4 linked regions of the Yarrowia lipolytica genome follow. The protein of the gene in region 2 purifies or fractionates together with the protein of the main gene of each other region. This does not show direct contact. Links are inferred from orthologs where the notes say so. Each region holds a gene or a part of one and is shown on either strand. Other genes may lie near its edges.

Region 1 (3,656 bases), on a different chromosome or scaffold from region 2:
ACGGTACACCCAGATTACCATGGATACCCCCGATGAGACCAATACCCTCAGTTCTACAGACCCCTCACGCCTCTACTTGCTCTATCCCCTGATGAAACAAGATCAACCCGTTATTATCTTCTCCCACAAATCTCTCGTCTCCAAATGAACTTCCTCCCTGCAACAACACTCGACAAGACCACTTCAGAGCGTAGTTCATGGAAGCATCTCATGACGATACACACAGTCCACACTACATCCTGACACTCTTTCCCATCGCGGTCATACCCACCACATTCTTTCTTGTCACCGGTATCATCGGACCCGTCACTGGTATCACTCTACGATAACATCGTCACCCTACGTGTACATACATCACTAGTGACCGTGGCACTCGCAACGTAGTCTACGTCTGCTCCCATATACTGCCGCAAGATCATGCTCGTGACAGCGTCGCAAGGATGATACTGCGCGCCAGTAGAGGGTCGTCAATATCTAGTTTTATTATGCTAACCTACCGCTTAAAAAAGCTCGTCGGCGAAAGGAAGAGCGTGGACCTGGCCAACGGCAGCAACAACAGGCTTGGCGCTGGCAGACAGCTGGGCGGCGGCCTCGGAGAGCTCGGCAGGAGTGAACTTCTGCACGTTCTCGGGGGCGATTCGGGAGACTCCGGACAGAAGCTCCATGCCAATGACGGATGCGGAGGAGTCGGGGTTTTCAAAGGCCTCAGCGGCGGCAAACTTGGACTTTGCGTATGCTCGAGCAGCCTGCTCCTCGGTCACCTCGGCGCCAGTGTCCTTGAGGGCCTGGACGGCCTTGTGGGCCACCTGGGAGATCTCTGCGGGGGAGTCGCCCTTGATGGTGATGGCGAAGAGGCCGGCGTCTCCGTAGTTGTGGTAGGTGGCCTTGACGGAGGTGTGGGTGCCAACGGTGGCCTGGGCGAGAGGAGAGGCGCCGACGGACCAGGGCATGGAGGCGGGGCCGCCGAGGAAGGAGGCCAGGGCGTGGTAGACGGGCTTGGGCTCGGCAATGGGCAGGGCGATGGTCAGAGCGTTGCCGGTGGAGGTTCGGACTCGGGCTTCACCGCCGTGGAGAGTGGTGGTGCCGGCCTGGGTCACCTTGGAGCCCTCCTGCAGGTCGGCAAAGGCGGTGCCGACCAGCTGCTGCAGATCGGCGGGGACCACGTTGTTGCCGACAACAGCAACGTTCTGCTTGGCGTAGACCTGTCGGGCAAACTCCTTGACGTCCTCGAGGGTGACGGGGGAGTAGCCCTGGGCGTAGACGGAGTTTCCGAGGCCGGTTCGGAAGGCAACCTCGTGGGCAGCCTCGAGGGCAGTGAAGGCAGGGTCCGACTCTCGCTTGAGGAGGTCGAGCTCGGCCACGGGAGCGACTCGCTCGGTGAGCTCAAACTGCTGGAACTTGGTCTCCTTCAGCACGTTGGCAAAGGCGTCGACAAAGTAGGGCAGATCCTGCTTGAGGAACTGGGTTCGCAGCACAATGTGCTCTCGTGTGGTGTGGGTGTAGAGCTTGCCGCCAAACAGCTCCAGCTCTCGGACGAATCGCAGAGCAGACTTGGGCACCGTGTTCTGGAAGGCAAACTTCTCCAGAATGTGCGACACGCCGGGCACGGTGGCGTATCGAGAACCACCTCGCAGCACCACAGACAGGTCCGAGATGGGGGACTGGCCGTCCTGGGCAGCGACCTTGACGCCGGCAGCCTCGGCGGTGGAGAAGTGTCGGGCGGCAACGGCCAGTCGGGGAACACCCCGAGTCATGGAGGATCGGGCAGACAACATTGTGGTTGTTTTTGTGTGGGGTTTGGGGGGGTGTTGTGTTGTGAAGGGGTTAGTTCTGGGTGGTTGGTGAACTGACTATTGGGTGTGATTTGTGCGAGCGCACATTAACCTTTTTTGCCAAAAAGACATTCAAAGCGTCGGTTTTGATTGGTTGTGGAGTGCGAGGGTTAGGGCAGCGCGTGGTTGGGACTCCTCAGCATCAGACCATCGACCAGGAGGAGACGACTGGAGCGCGCGGTCGCCAAGATATATCCGTCTTTTTTCCGCCAGCGGAGCTCAATTGGACCCGGTCGGTCACGTGATCTGCCCCTCGTCCGCGCCGCCCGTCTCAATCGTGCACTGTGTGGTGTTGTTTCCGAATTACTCGAATCATTCGAATCACTCGAATCACTCGAATCACGCAAATCATCATTGTACATACAAAATTATGAGCCGTTTGAGCAGCGTAGTATTTGAGACAGATCACGTGAATAGACGAACTCTGGCTATGGAGTCGGCGTGTACCGAGTGGCAATGGTCACGTGGTCTGTCCATCCACGTGACCTCTTCCCCCCGCCTCGCCGTATCTCCCTCAATATGACGTTGGTCGTGCATCTAAAAAATCTCCAAGTTTGTCAAATCTCCGAGTTTGTTTACAGTTGATGCAAAGTTGGCAAATGGGATCGAGGGCAATTGGCGACGGGGATTCTGCAACAGTGAGGGCGGTTTGAGGACGAGTTGAGTATACCATTGTGACCCTTGGAATTGTGGGAGTACATTGGTGTTTTCGCAAGTCGTTTCTGACTACTGTAACACGAGTTGTGACTGTATTTGAGTCCGCATCCAAAGTTAGCCTGATGGGGCCACAGAAAGAGGTTCTCGGGAGTTTAACATGTCGTCGACTTGGCTGGACGGAGACATTTCTATCGACATCTTCTTATAACAATTCCTCTGATTGTTCACCTCTGATTCTGGAGTTGCATTGACCGGTATGACTAAAAGGTCCCCCTTGTGGGCGCTACTTGGATCGGGTCTTGCTGAAATTTGGTCACATGGGCCCCTCCGCCGTGTTCCCCGACAATACCAATCTTGAATCTGATTTGACTCATTTTTATCCCATTCTTTCCCTACCCAGTCATGTTCATCACCATAGATTGTTTTTTTCAAACATGCATGCCCAAGGTGGTTAGAGTTGTGAAAGTGGCTTGTTTTGGGGTGTCGTATACCTCGTTGGTGTAGATGTATAAGGAGAGAAATCGCTGTTCCCGTCTGCTCTGTGTCTCCAGTATGTCTGTGTCAAATTTCAGCTTTCTACGGTCAAAATTCAGCCAGTTGGAGGACTTGACTCTGGTGAACATATATTGTATATAACAGACACTCATAATCTGACTTTTTAGAAATGAAGTCAGCCCGATATCGAATACACTGTAGCTCGTGACCTCCCTGTAGCCCGTGGTTCACCTCCTACTCCCGTTTTACTCCCGTTTTAACTCCCGTTTTACTCCCGTTTTACTCCCGTTTTTTTCCCGTTTTATCCCCGTTTTACTCACGCATCCTGGAATAAAAATATATAAAACATATATAAAAATATAAAACATATATATAAAATATAAAAAAGAACGTGCATGCATATTGTATGCGCTGTGATGAAAGTTGACGGGAGATGAATTGGCAGATTGAGATGGAAAAATTTGGGGAAAAAAAGGAAAAAACAGGAAAAGCGTAGAAATATGATCTATTTTTTTGGTCGTCATCTGAATATACAGTCATACTACAAGTAGTTGTATGTTTTCCTCATCCCCCTTTCACATCCCATCTTACACTCCCTAAACAACATGTCCATAGCTACATGTCCTTGTAGTGTAGGCTCCACCATGTTTAGTCAGCGGTGCAATTAAAGGG
Region 2 (2,631 bases):
AAAAGGTAGCTATCCATTGGGCCTACTCATTGAGATTGAGCCTACCCATTGAGCCTACCCATTGAGCCTACCCATTCATTGTATCGATCACTCTCGGTGAGCGGTGTCATTCCAGTTGTGACTGGAAAAACTCGTGTCGGCAGTCTCACAGCTGAGCAGATGACGGTGCTAAGAACTACGGTGGTGTTACATCCACCCATGGTGTGTCGTGACTTTCGACGTCCGAACAAGTGTCGCCTTCAGGGTTACATCTCAGTCCCACTAAGGTACTCGTACTTTCTACAGTATCACAATAATACAGTGGGTTCTCAGATTCACCCGTCCGCACCCTACAGTCTACATCCACAGTGCTACTCATGCGGTGATACAGCGGGTTTCCTCTGTAAAACAACACAGACGCTGTGTTTGTACGTTCCATGGTTGTTTCTCTTTCGCATGTCGCTACGGTTTCAACGCACAAGCGACAAATCTCTCAGTTTGTTCAGTTAACATACATAGCCTTAGTGGTGGGGAGCCTCCTCATCGGCGCCAAGCTCATAAGCTCGGTAGACGGCGCCGCACTCGTCGCATCGGCCGACCTTATCGACACCGGCGTGGAACCACTGGACCTCGTGGGAGCCGTGGGGGGTACCGGAGCAGCCGACGATTCGGGAGTTGTCGTATGTGGGGACCCAGATGGGGTCGTCGGGGGTGCCCTTGACGGAGTGCTGGGGTCGGATGACGGGGCCGAGGTCGAAAATGTCGATACCGTCCATCTTACCGAGCAGCTCGAGTCGAGCCAGACCGGTCTCCTGCTCGAGGTCAGTGGGCACGGTGCCGGGGGCGGCGGAGGTTCCGATCAGGGACTCGGGGCCGGTGACCTCGGAGAGCTTCTCGGCGGGCTTGACGGCCTTGTGCTGCAGGAGAGCAGAGGCAGAGGAGAATCGAGCAACCTGCTGGGGTCGAGCGATTCGGCCTGCGGAAAGCAGAGATCTTCTCAGGGCGAACATCTGGGTTAGTACTGAAGCACAGGAGACATAAGCGTGGTGGACTCAGTAGAGTGAGAGCGTGGTGTGCAAAAAGTCTGGTACAAACTCACAGACCCATCCATCTCATGATGAATCGGCTTGGATACGTTGGTACGGGATACAGCCACAGCTGAGAGTAACTGCTGTGAAACTGGTAAATGGCATTTGACGCTGTCACCATCTGTTGATGATGACATAAGTCACGTCACTTAGTCGTAACACGGAGTCACGTCACAGCCACAGCCACAGCCACAGGTGTGTCACAAACACGTTTTCGAGGGGTTCAGTGGTATCCGTGAAATTGTGATATCTGCGAAATCTTTGTGTCGTTTGATTTGAGCTGTTCTGAGAGTGCGGAATTAGGTAACGGGTCGGTGGAAACGTCAGAGGGTTGATGCATTGAAAGTGCTAAGTGCGAAGTGACTGGCATCGACTAGTAAAGTGCATCACAATGTCGAATAGTCGAATGGTCGAATAGTCAAGTTCAGCGACATAGCGACATCCCCGGTCTCGATTTCTCCTTCGTTATACGCTGCATGTAGTCATCACATTGCCCGCGTCTCCCTACGACACTCCCGATGTCTCCCCATGACACTTTCCAAGTCAATCCACGACACTCTCCACGTCGTCACCACAACTGTCGTGCCATCCATCCCGCAATCGTCTTTGTTTTCGTCATCTCCACCTCTTCCTGGGTCTCTCCCTGTCATCTCATTTGCTCATCTGTAGCTTGTCGATATTTGCTCAAAAAACACAAGACTCGTGTCTGTTCACAGGTGACATTGCCCGAGTCACATCCTCCCCTCTCTCGTCCACCCCACAATATCCGCCTTATCATCTCAATACCCACTTTATGCAAAAATATGGAATGTACCGAAAGGTGCTATGTGGAAGCCAACACTGAAATCGTATCACACACTGTTAAAAGTTTGGGACATGATTTGTTAGCCGAGCTAAGCCAATCACAGCGCGCCAGAGTGGGCCGACTGCGAAACCTTAAAATAACATGTCATTTTTCCACTTTGAGCAATAGGATTAGGGTTGGGAGTCAGGTCCGCAGCAATAAGCTTAGCTAAGCACCGCCTTTTACTGGCTGGAATGGTGTTCAGGGTTAGGGGTTGTGGTTAGGGCGGAATCGTGGCTGGGTACCCAGTGGATGTGGCTAAAGTCCCAGCTGGTGGCTGGTGTGCTTAGTAATTGGATCACGTGAAACGTGTCAACCAATTTGGTTGTTTCTGGTGGGTCGCAAAATCAAAGATAAGTAATTACGTAATCGGGGAGGTAAGAAAAGAGTGAAAATGAGGAGTTTAGAAAAGACGTGGAAATTTTCGGTGGAAATTTCTGCTGTTACATAACATCATTGTACGCACGTGATCACGGGAAGTCACGGGACGGATTTGATTTCGCTGACTAAGTCGCCTAATACCGCCGTTTGGGTCAAAGTTGAGTGGTCATAACCTGTTTCAAAAGTTGTGCAACTCGGTGTGTAAGCGTCGGATTGGGAAGCTGAGTAATTGTGAGATTGCCTAATACTGTTTTTATAATAATGGCCAAAGTATTATATAATTTTGGAGGCGCTATCAGGTCATCTGAGCGATTGGTCGCTGAGATATCACATGACTTT
Region 3 (2,944 bases), on a different chromosome or scaffold from region 2:
ACTCCGGAAGAGCGGTGGAAGAAGATTTGCTCCGAGCCGTTTGAGCTCATTGTTCGCGGCGTACTCAAGTATGATCTGCCGCTGTTCCACAAGGGTCAGTCCACCACGGTTTCGAAGAGTGTCAAGGTGACGCCACATAAAAACTAGCTATTTAATATTTATTGAGTGTATTTCATCTGTGTGTTATTGTTCCCTGTGGCTACAGTAGAATGTATATCTAAGATACTTGTACAGCTTTTCTTTGTGGTTATACTGTACTGTATGTGTTGTTTTCCGTGTTTAACATCTGATTTTCTGGACACTGTATGATTGTATGTGTGATACGAGAGATACGATACAACGGAAGAATTATCGTAAGTCGTTTTTGCAGTGTCTAATCATGACCAATACAAGGCATATTTAATATGACCTGATTAACTACAATACAGTGCACACTTCAGGGGACTGCTGTGACCTCTACGTACAATCCACGATGTCGATCTTAATATGTATTTCTATGCTTATTCGGCAAGAGCCTTGGCGAGCTCGTGTCGGCCAGCCTTGGTGTAGAGCCACTCGTTCTTCTCAGAGGCCTGGGTCCAGACGTAGTAGAAGAAAGAGACGGGCAGGATGACAAAGAGAGCCTGGTTCTTAGTTCGTCGGAAGGTGTTGAAGATGGCAGCGTGCACGACACCGGCGAAGGGTCGAGCAGCAAAGGGGGAGATGGTGTATCCAGCGATACCTGAGTTAGTATGATTGGGGAAGGAGTGACGATTGACTGGTGTGTGGTGATGGTTTGTCTATCTTGCGCGTGACTTTTTACTAGACCCTCAATTCGACCACAAAGGGACCAAGTTGGCCCTGGGTCGGTTGTAGTAGTGGACTGGTTGTACCAATATCATTGATCACCTCTAACACACTCTTGATGTGGTATGTTGTCCACGTAGGTCACCGCCTGATCATCACGCACCATTGTTGTCCTGAAGCCCTCATCGCGTGTCGAATAGCGTCCAATAAATAACGCAAGGCCTCATCCTGTCTTCTTGTACTCACCCTTCTGAGGGGGGGAGCCCATGTGTCCCCACCATCCCATGTAGTGTCCGTTGCCTCCCATTTTGATAGATGTGTTTAGTTAGTGAAGGTGAGATGATTTTCGTGAGCTTTGGCTTTGAAAGATACCCGTGTGATTCCATTGGCTGTTGGGAGGAACGGTAGGGTAACCCTGGGGAGCATCACTGTGGTGTGCTGGGAGCAAAGCTTATTGTGGGCGAATGGAACACTTCCAATATGCATGGTTCAGTGTCAGCAGCAAGCTGAATGATGAGACAATATGGGGACAATATGGAGACAGTAAAACGAGATGATAACTGACGATAACATGATGAACCCGAAAAGCATACATTCTGGATTTATGATTGGATGCTGCTTATTGATATATTTGTACAAATCTTGTAGGCGATACTCCTCAACATACATCTCTACAAGGACATGTTCATACTCTTGATGTCATTGTTATACATCTATCGTTTGATTTCTCTATGGCTCTATTAATCCGTGGGAGCCGTTTCTCCACCGCACCAGGCATGATTAAGTGATTGTAGCTATGGAGTGTACATGCTTGTAGTTGGTACAGTCTAGTTTAAACGCCGTAGACGTCACGCAGTCGCTTCTGGATGATGGGAGGCAGCTGCTCGGTCACGTCCTTGTCAAAATTGGGGTGCATGCCCTTGAGGCCACCCAGCACCTGTCGAAAGGTGTGCATCAGCGCTTCGCTAGGCTCCAGGTATCGGGCCACGGCATTCACAAACATGAGCAGGGTGGAGTTGTCGAGGGCTTGGGGGTTGGACGAGATGATGGTGCACATGCCCACAAACGCGCTTTCCTTCTCGCTGTTGTCCATGGCGTCATGCATGTTGAGACACCAGGCAATGATGAAGTCTGGGATTCGCTGCGCGAAAATGTCGGGCATGGTAATGCCGATTCGGCCAATGGCGGTCGAAGCGTTTTCCAGAACTCGTGGCGATGCATCTCGGGTTCGCAGAAGCGCAATGAGCCGCTCGGCAGCAGATGCCTGCAGAAGAGGTCGCAGCTTGTCGCCGAATCGAAGAGCAATCTCTCCCAGTGACCAGCAAGTGTTGCTGACGGCATCAGGCCAAATGTGGTTGTACTCGACCTGGTTGAGCAGCTCCTCCATCAACTGATCCATGTAGGGCTCCAATGGCTGGGGGCACAGGGCGGCCATGTCTCCAATGAGCGCAAATGTCGATTGCCGCACGTCAAACTCGTCATGGCAGCACACAAGAAGCAGCTCCATGAATGGGGGCTCGCTGTTCATCATCAAGGGAGCTGCCTTGTCCTTGAGACCGAGCACCAGACCGTCGACAAGATCAATGGCAGTCACCATAAAGTCTCGCTCGGCAGGATCCTGGGACGGGTCGTTGGAAAAGTTCTGATCCTGAACCAAGCACGAGTGCAGCAGACGAGCGCATCGGTCAAACACAGGGGGAGCATAGGGCTCAAATGCAGGGCCCATGTACGAGGCCACGGCAGACATGCACTCAAACAGTGGCCACAGGGCGTTGTCGTCGTCGCTAATCTGCTCCCACTTGGCAATCAGAGGCTGCATCAGAGTCTCCATGTATTGTTGGTTTTCGGCAATTTCGGCGCCGCAATACTTGACCAGAGTCGAAACTGCGTCGTACAGGAACAGCAGCGACTTCTTCTGGTAGCGTCGGAAACAGAGCGCAAACTGCTCGAGAATCTGGCCGAGGTATGGAGTCAGCATGTTTCGGGCCTCGTCAGTGAAGGTGGCCACGGCAGAACAGCCGGCAACCTGCACCTTTTTGTTTCGGTCCAGGGCACATGTAAAGAGACCTGTAAGCGTGGGGATGAAGTAAGTGTCCTGCTCGGACATGCTCTGTTCGCAGACCCAGGTTGAGAACCGGCCCAGGGTCCAGCAACAAAC
Region 4 (2,768 bases), about 800 kb from region 2:
GGCTGGCAGAGTGCTGCCATCATCACCACCGATGACATTGAGCACGATGAGAAGCAGTAGCCGTGGCAACAGCAGTATATAGTTGTGTATTTAATAAATCTTTTTACATTCACTATCTGTGCTACAAGTAAGGTAATTACTGTAGTAGTAGTGGGTCTTACAATATCAACCCTTCAGGTGCTTAGTCATCAGATAACATCTCAGACATCAATCATCGATCCTTGCTCAGGAAACCTCCGCCTTCTCGTTCTACGTGTCCCTGTCGTGTTTCTTCTCGGTCTGAATCCCCCAATATTGTTTCTGTGTCGTTCTGATGTCGGTTTGATGTTGCAATTTCTCCCTCGTCGCTACGGTTGCGGTATCTAGTCAAATATCATGTGCAAATGTATTAAGTCTACTCGGAGGCAGGCTTCTCATCCTTGATACCCTGGGTTAGTTTTGCAATTGTCGTGATCCTTGACTGCTCAATCAGTCGAATTTCTCATCTTCCATCTCTCCAATCATGTTCTCCACATATCAATACTACTCACAAGAATGGTTCGGCCAGTGTACCAGACGGAAACGCCCATGGAGACGGCGAAACAAGCGTAGAAGGGGTACAGCAGGAACTTGGATCGGGGGTGTCGCTTCCACAGAGCCACGTTGGGCTGGGACTGGAAGAGCTTCTGGTTCTTGATGACGTTGTTCTGGGTTAGTAATGTGGTGACACACGCCGCGCAAAAAGGCCGCACAAAAGCCACAGCCCGCTAAACGGGACGTGCTCAGAACACTGGCGGTGGATCTGTCGGGTTTCAACGCCTCGTTTCGCGTTTATCGGTACTCACGACCATTGTGATATGTAGTGATGGATTTGGTGGTACGTCTGAGCTTACTTAAAATCGAATGTTTGCAAGCGGCCAATCAGGCTCGGTTCAAACCCAACCTTGCGCGTAAAATAGGGTCCTGCGTATAACACAGACTGCAGTATTGCCTGATCCAAGGCGCTTTGAGTTCAGCTTTGGGAGAAGCTGTTGGAGATGAGTGGATGGAATTTGTGGTGTCATATTTTTTACATAATCATGATATTATGTAATCGGAACAGGGACAGACATTCAAATGTTCAACCACTCGCAAGGGCGTAACAGTGCAGAAACCAAAGCTATTGTTCACGTGATACCCTTAGTTCTTCAAACGTACACTCATACATACCTACAGTATACATGCCACAAGTACAAGTACAAGTATCGGCAGCGTTCCAAAGCAAGTCCCTGTGATCTACTGTACAGTATCGTAGTGCTGGGTGTGTTTTGGGTATGTATGGTCAATCAAGGCCTATAGACTTGCTGGGCTGTACGATGACCATTACCACATTGATTGTGTTTCCGATAACATTTTTATTGATAAATAGTTAGTATGTATTGCTCTCCCTGAGCCTGTGCTCTCCCTGAACCTGTGCTCGGGTATCTGTATCTCACTGAGGCTCTCAGACCGCTATACTGATTGCCCCTCTCGCACGCTCTGTCTCTTGCCTTCACTTTGGCTCCCGCCTCACTAGCTTGAGAAATACCCCTCGCTATCACTGCCTCTGGAACCGTTAATATGTGCATCCACAACTCTCGTGAATGTCTTCTCATCTCCATTGGCTACCCCAATGGTTAGTTTGGTAGGCTCGACCGTGATCCACTTGATCGCATGTCTTACCCCCAGACTGATATCTGGAGTCTCTACCGGAGGAACATGCTCACTTGGAGGCGAGTTTCTTCTCGGGGGTCTCTCAATCATCACACGCTCAGGAATATGTCGCCTAGAGGGACGTGCGTCGTGGAACTCCTCGGTAGGAGTCCTTGGTGCATAGTGCGAATCTGGAGCATCGTGGTATTGTTCTGTGTGTTCTGTAGTGTCACTCACCGCACGGATGGAAACCTCCACGCGATGGCGATAGTAAGACTGCATGATGATGTGGTTGATGGTGGTTCCCCAGTCGAGATAATGTCGCTGACCCTGTCTATCGAGCCAGTGTATATTTCCAGGCACTCCGTACATCATTTCTGAGCCTGAATCTGACAACTCATCTGAATCAAAGCCGCCTTCATGGGTCTCAATATCCAGAGCTGAAGCCAGAGAGGCGTCGAATTGAAAGTCGCTGCCATCTTCGCTATCTGAAAAGAGGCCTGGAAGCATCGAGTTGTGTATCGACAGATCTCTCTTGTATTCTTCCGTTTGTCTTTGCATGAGTTCGTCGTACTCTGCTTTCCTGGAGGGGTCTGTTTCGATTATAGCTGCAATTATGGCCTTGGATATACCTGCCGCTGCATGTGAGATATGGGGCTTCTTGTGACACTCCTTCCGACACGAAGGACAGGTGTTGACCTTGGTGAACCAGGTCGAGATGCAATCATAGCAGTAAGAGTGCCCACACTCCAGCACACACGGCAGACACATGAGTTCCTGGCACACGATACATGTGACTGAATCGGCGATTTGCGATAGCAGAGACACACATTGTGTTTGAGTCTGTGTTAGTTAGATCCGATATCCAGACGTAGCTGCTAGCGGTGCCGGTGTACTCACATAGGCCCTACTCAACGCTGTCACGTTTAAGTTGTCGGACATGTCAGCTCTGTGACGTTGGCAGTGGTTGAAGGGAAGGAGAACGAGTCCGTCGCTTGGATCGTCTGTTTCTGTTAGTAAATAGTGCTTGGGTGCTCTCACAACACTTTTTTGGCGTCACGTTGCAGATAAAGCAGGCCCGATGCAAGGTGGAGAAATATTTAAGGTTGTGTGCCTGT

The links.
Region 1: the proteins of YALI1_E23635g (region 2) and YALI1_F12013g purify together in Saccharomyces cerevisiae (affinity purification with mass spectrometry; 3 studies listed by BioGRID, with this or other methods). This does not show direct contact. The link is inferred for Yarrowia lipolytica from reciprocal best matches to the Saccharomyces cerevisiae genes COX4 and QCR2.
Region 3: the proteins of YALI1_E23635g (region 2) and YALI1_F02758g purify together in Saccharomyces cerevisiae (affinity purification with mass spectrometry; 5 studies listed by BioGRID, with this or other methods). This does not show direct contact. The link is inferred for Yarrowia lipolytica from reciprocal best matches to the Saccharomyces cerevisiae genes COX4 and QCR8.
Region 4: the proteins of YALI1_E23635g (region 2) and YALI1_E15606g purify together in Saccharomyces cerevisiae (affinity purification with mass spectrometry; 3 studies listed by BioGRID). This does not show direct contact. The link is inferred for Yarrowia lipolytica from reciprocal best matches to the Saccharomyces cerevisiae genes COX4 and COX7.

The regions. Positions count from the first base shown.
Region 1 is NC_090775.1:1,199,529-1,203,184, forward strand, and holds YALI1_F12013g (uncharacterized protein), read right to left. Parts: upstream 1,776-3,656; coding exon 501-1,775; downstream 1-500. UniProt on the Saccharomyces cerevisiae protein: Component of the ubiquinol-cytochrome c oxidoreductase, a multisubunit transmembrane complex that is part of the mitochondrial electron transport chain which drives oxidative phosphorylation.
Region 2 is NC_090774.1:2,361,841-2,364,471, reverse strand, and holds YALI1_E23635g (uncharacterized protein), read right to left. Parts: upstream 990-2,631; coding exon 501-989; downstream 1-500. Other genes in the region: YALI1_E23629g (uncharacterized protein), read left to right, coding at 1,586-2,083. UniProt on the Saccharomyces cerevisiae protein: Component of the cytochrome c oxidase, the last enzyme in the mitochondrial electron transport chain which drives oxidative phosphorylation.
Region 3 is NC_090775.1:275,153-278,096, forward strand, and holds YALI1_F02758g (uncharacterized protein), read right to left. Parts: upstream 1,094-2,944; coding exon 1,033-1,093; intron 722-1,032; coding exon 501-721; downstream 1-500. Other genes in the region: YALI1_F02726g (uncharacterized protein), read left to right, coding at 1-147; YALI1_F02794g (uncharacterized protein), read right to left, coding at 1,619-2,944. UniProt on the Saccharomyces cerevisiae protein: Component of the ubiquinol-cytochrome c oxidoreductase, a multisubunit transmembrane complex that is part of the mitochondrial electron transport chain which drives oxidative phosphorylation.
Region 4 is NC_090774.1:1,559,983-1,562,750, forward strand, and holds YALI1_E15606g (uncharacterized protein), read right to left. Parts: upstream 831-2,768; coding exon 826-830; intron 688-825; coding exon 501-687; downstream 1-500. Other genes in the region: YALI1_E15583g (uncharacterized protein), read left to right, coding at 1-60; YALI1_E15625g (uncharacterized protein), read right to left, coding at 1,531-2,493, 2,551-2,592. UniProt on the Saccharomyces cerevisiae protein: Component of the cytochrome c oxidase, the last enzyme in the mitochondrial electron transport chain which drives oxidative phosphorylation.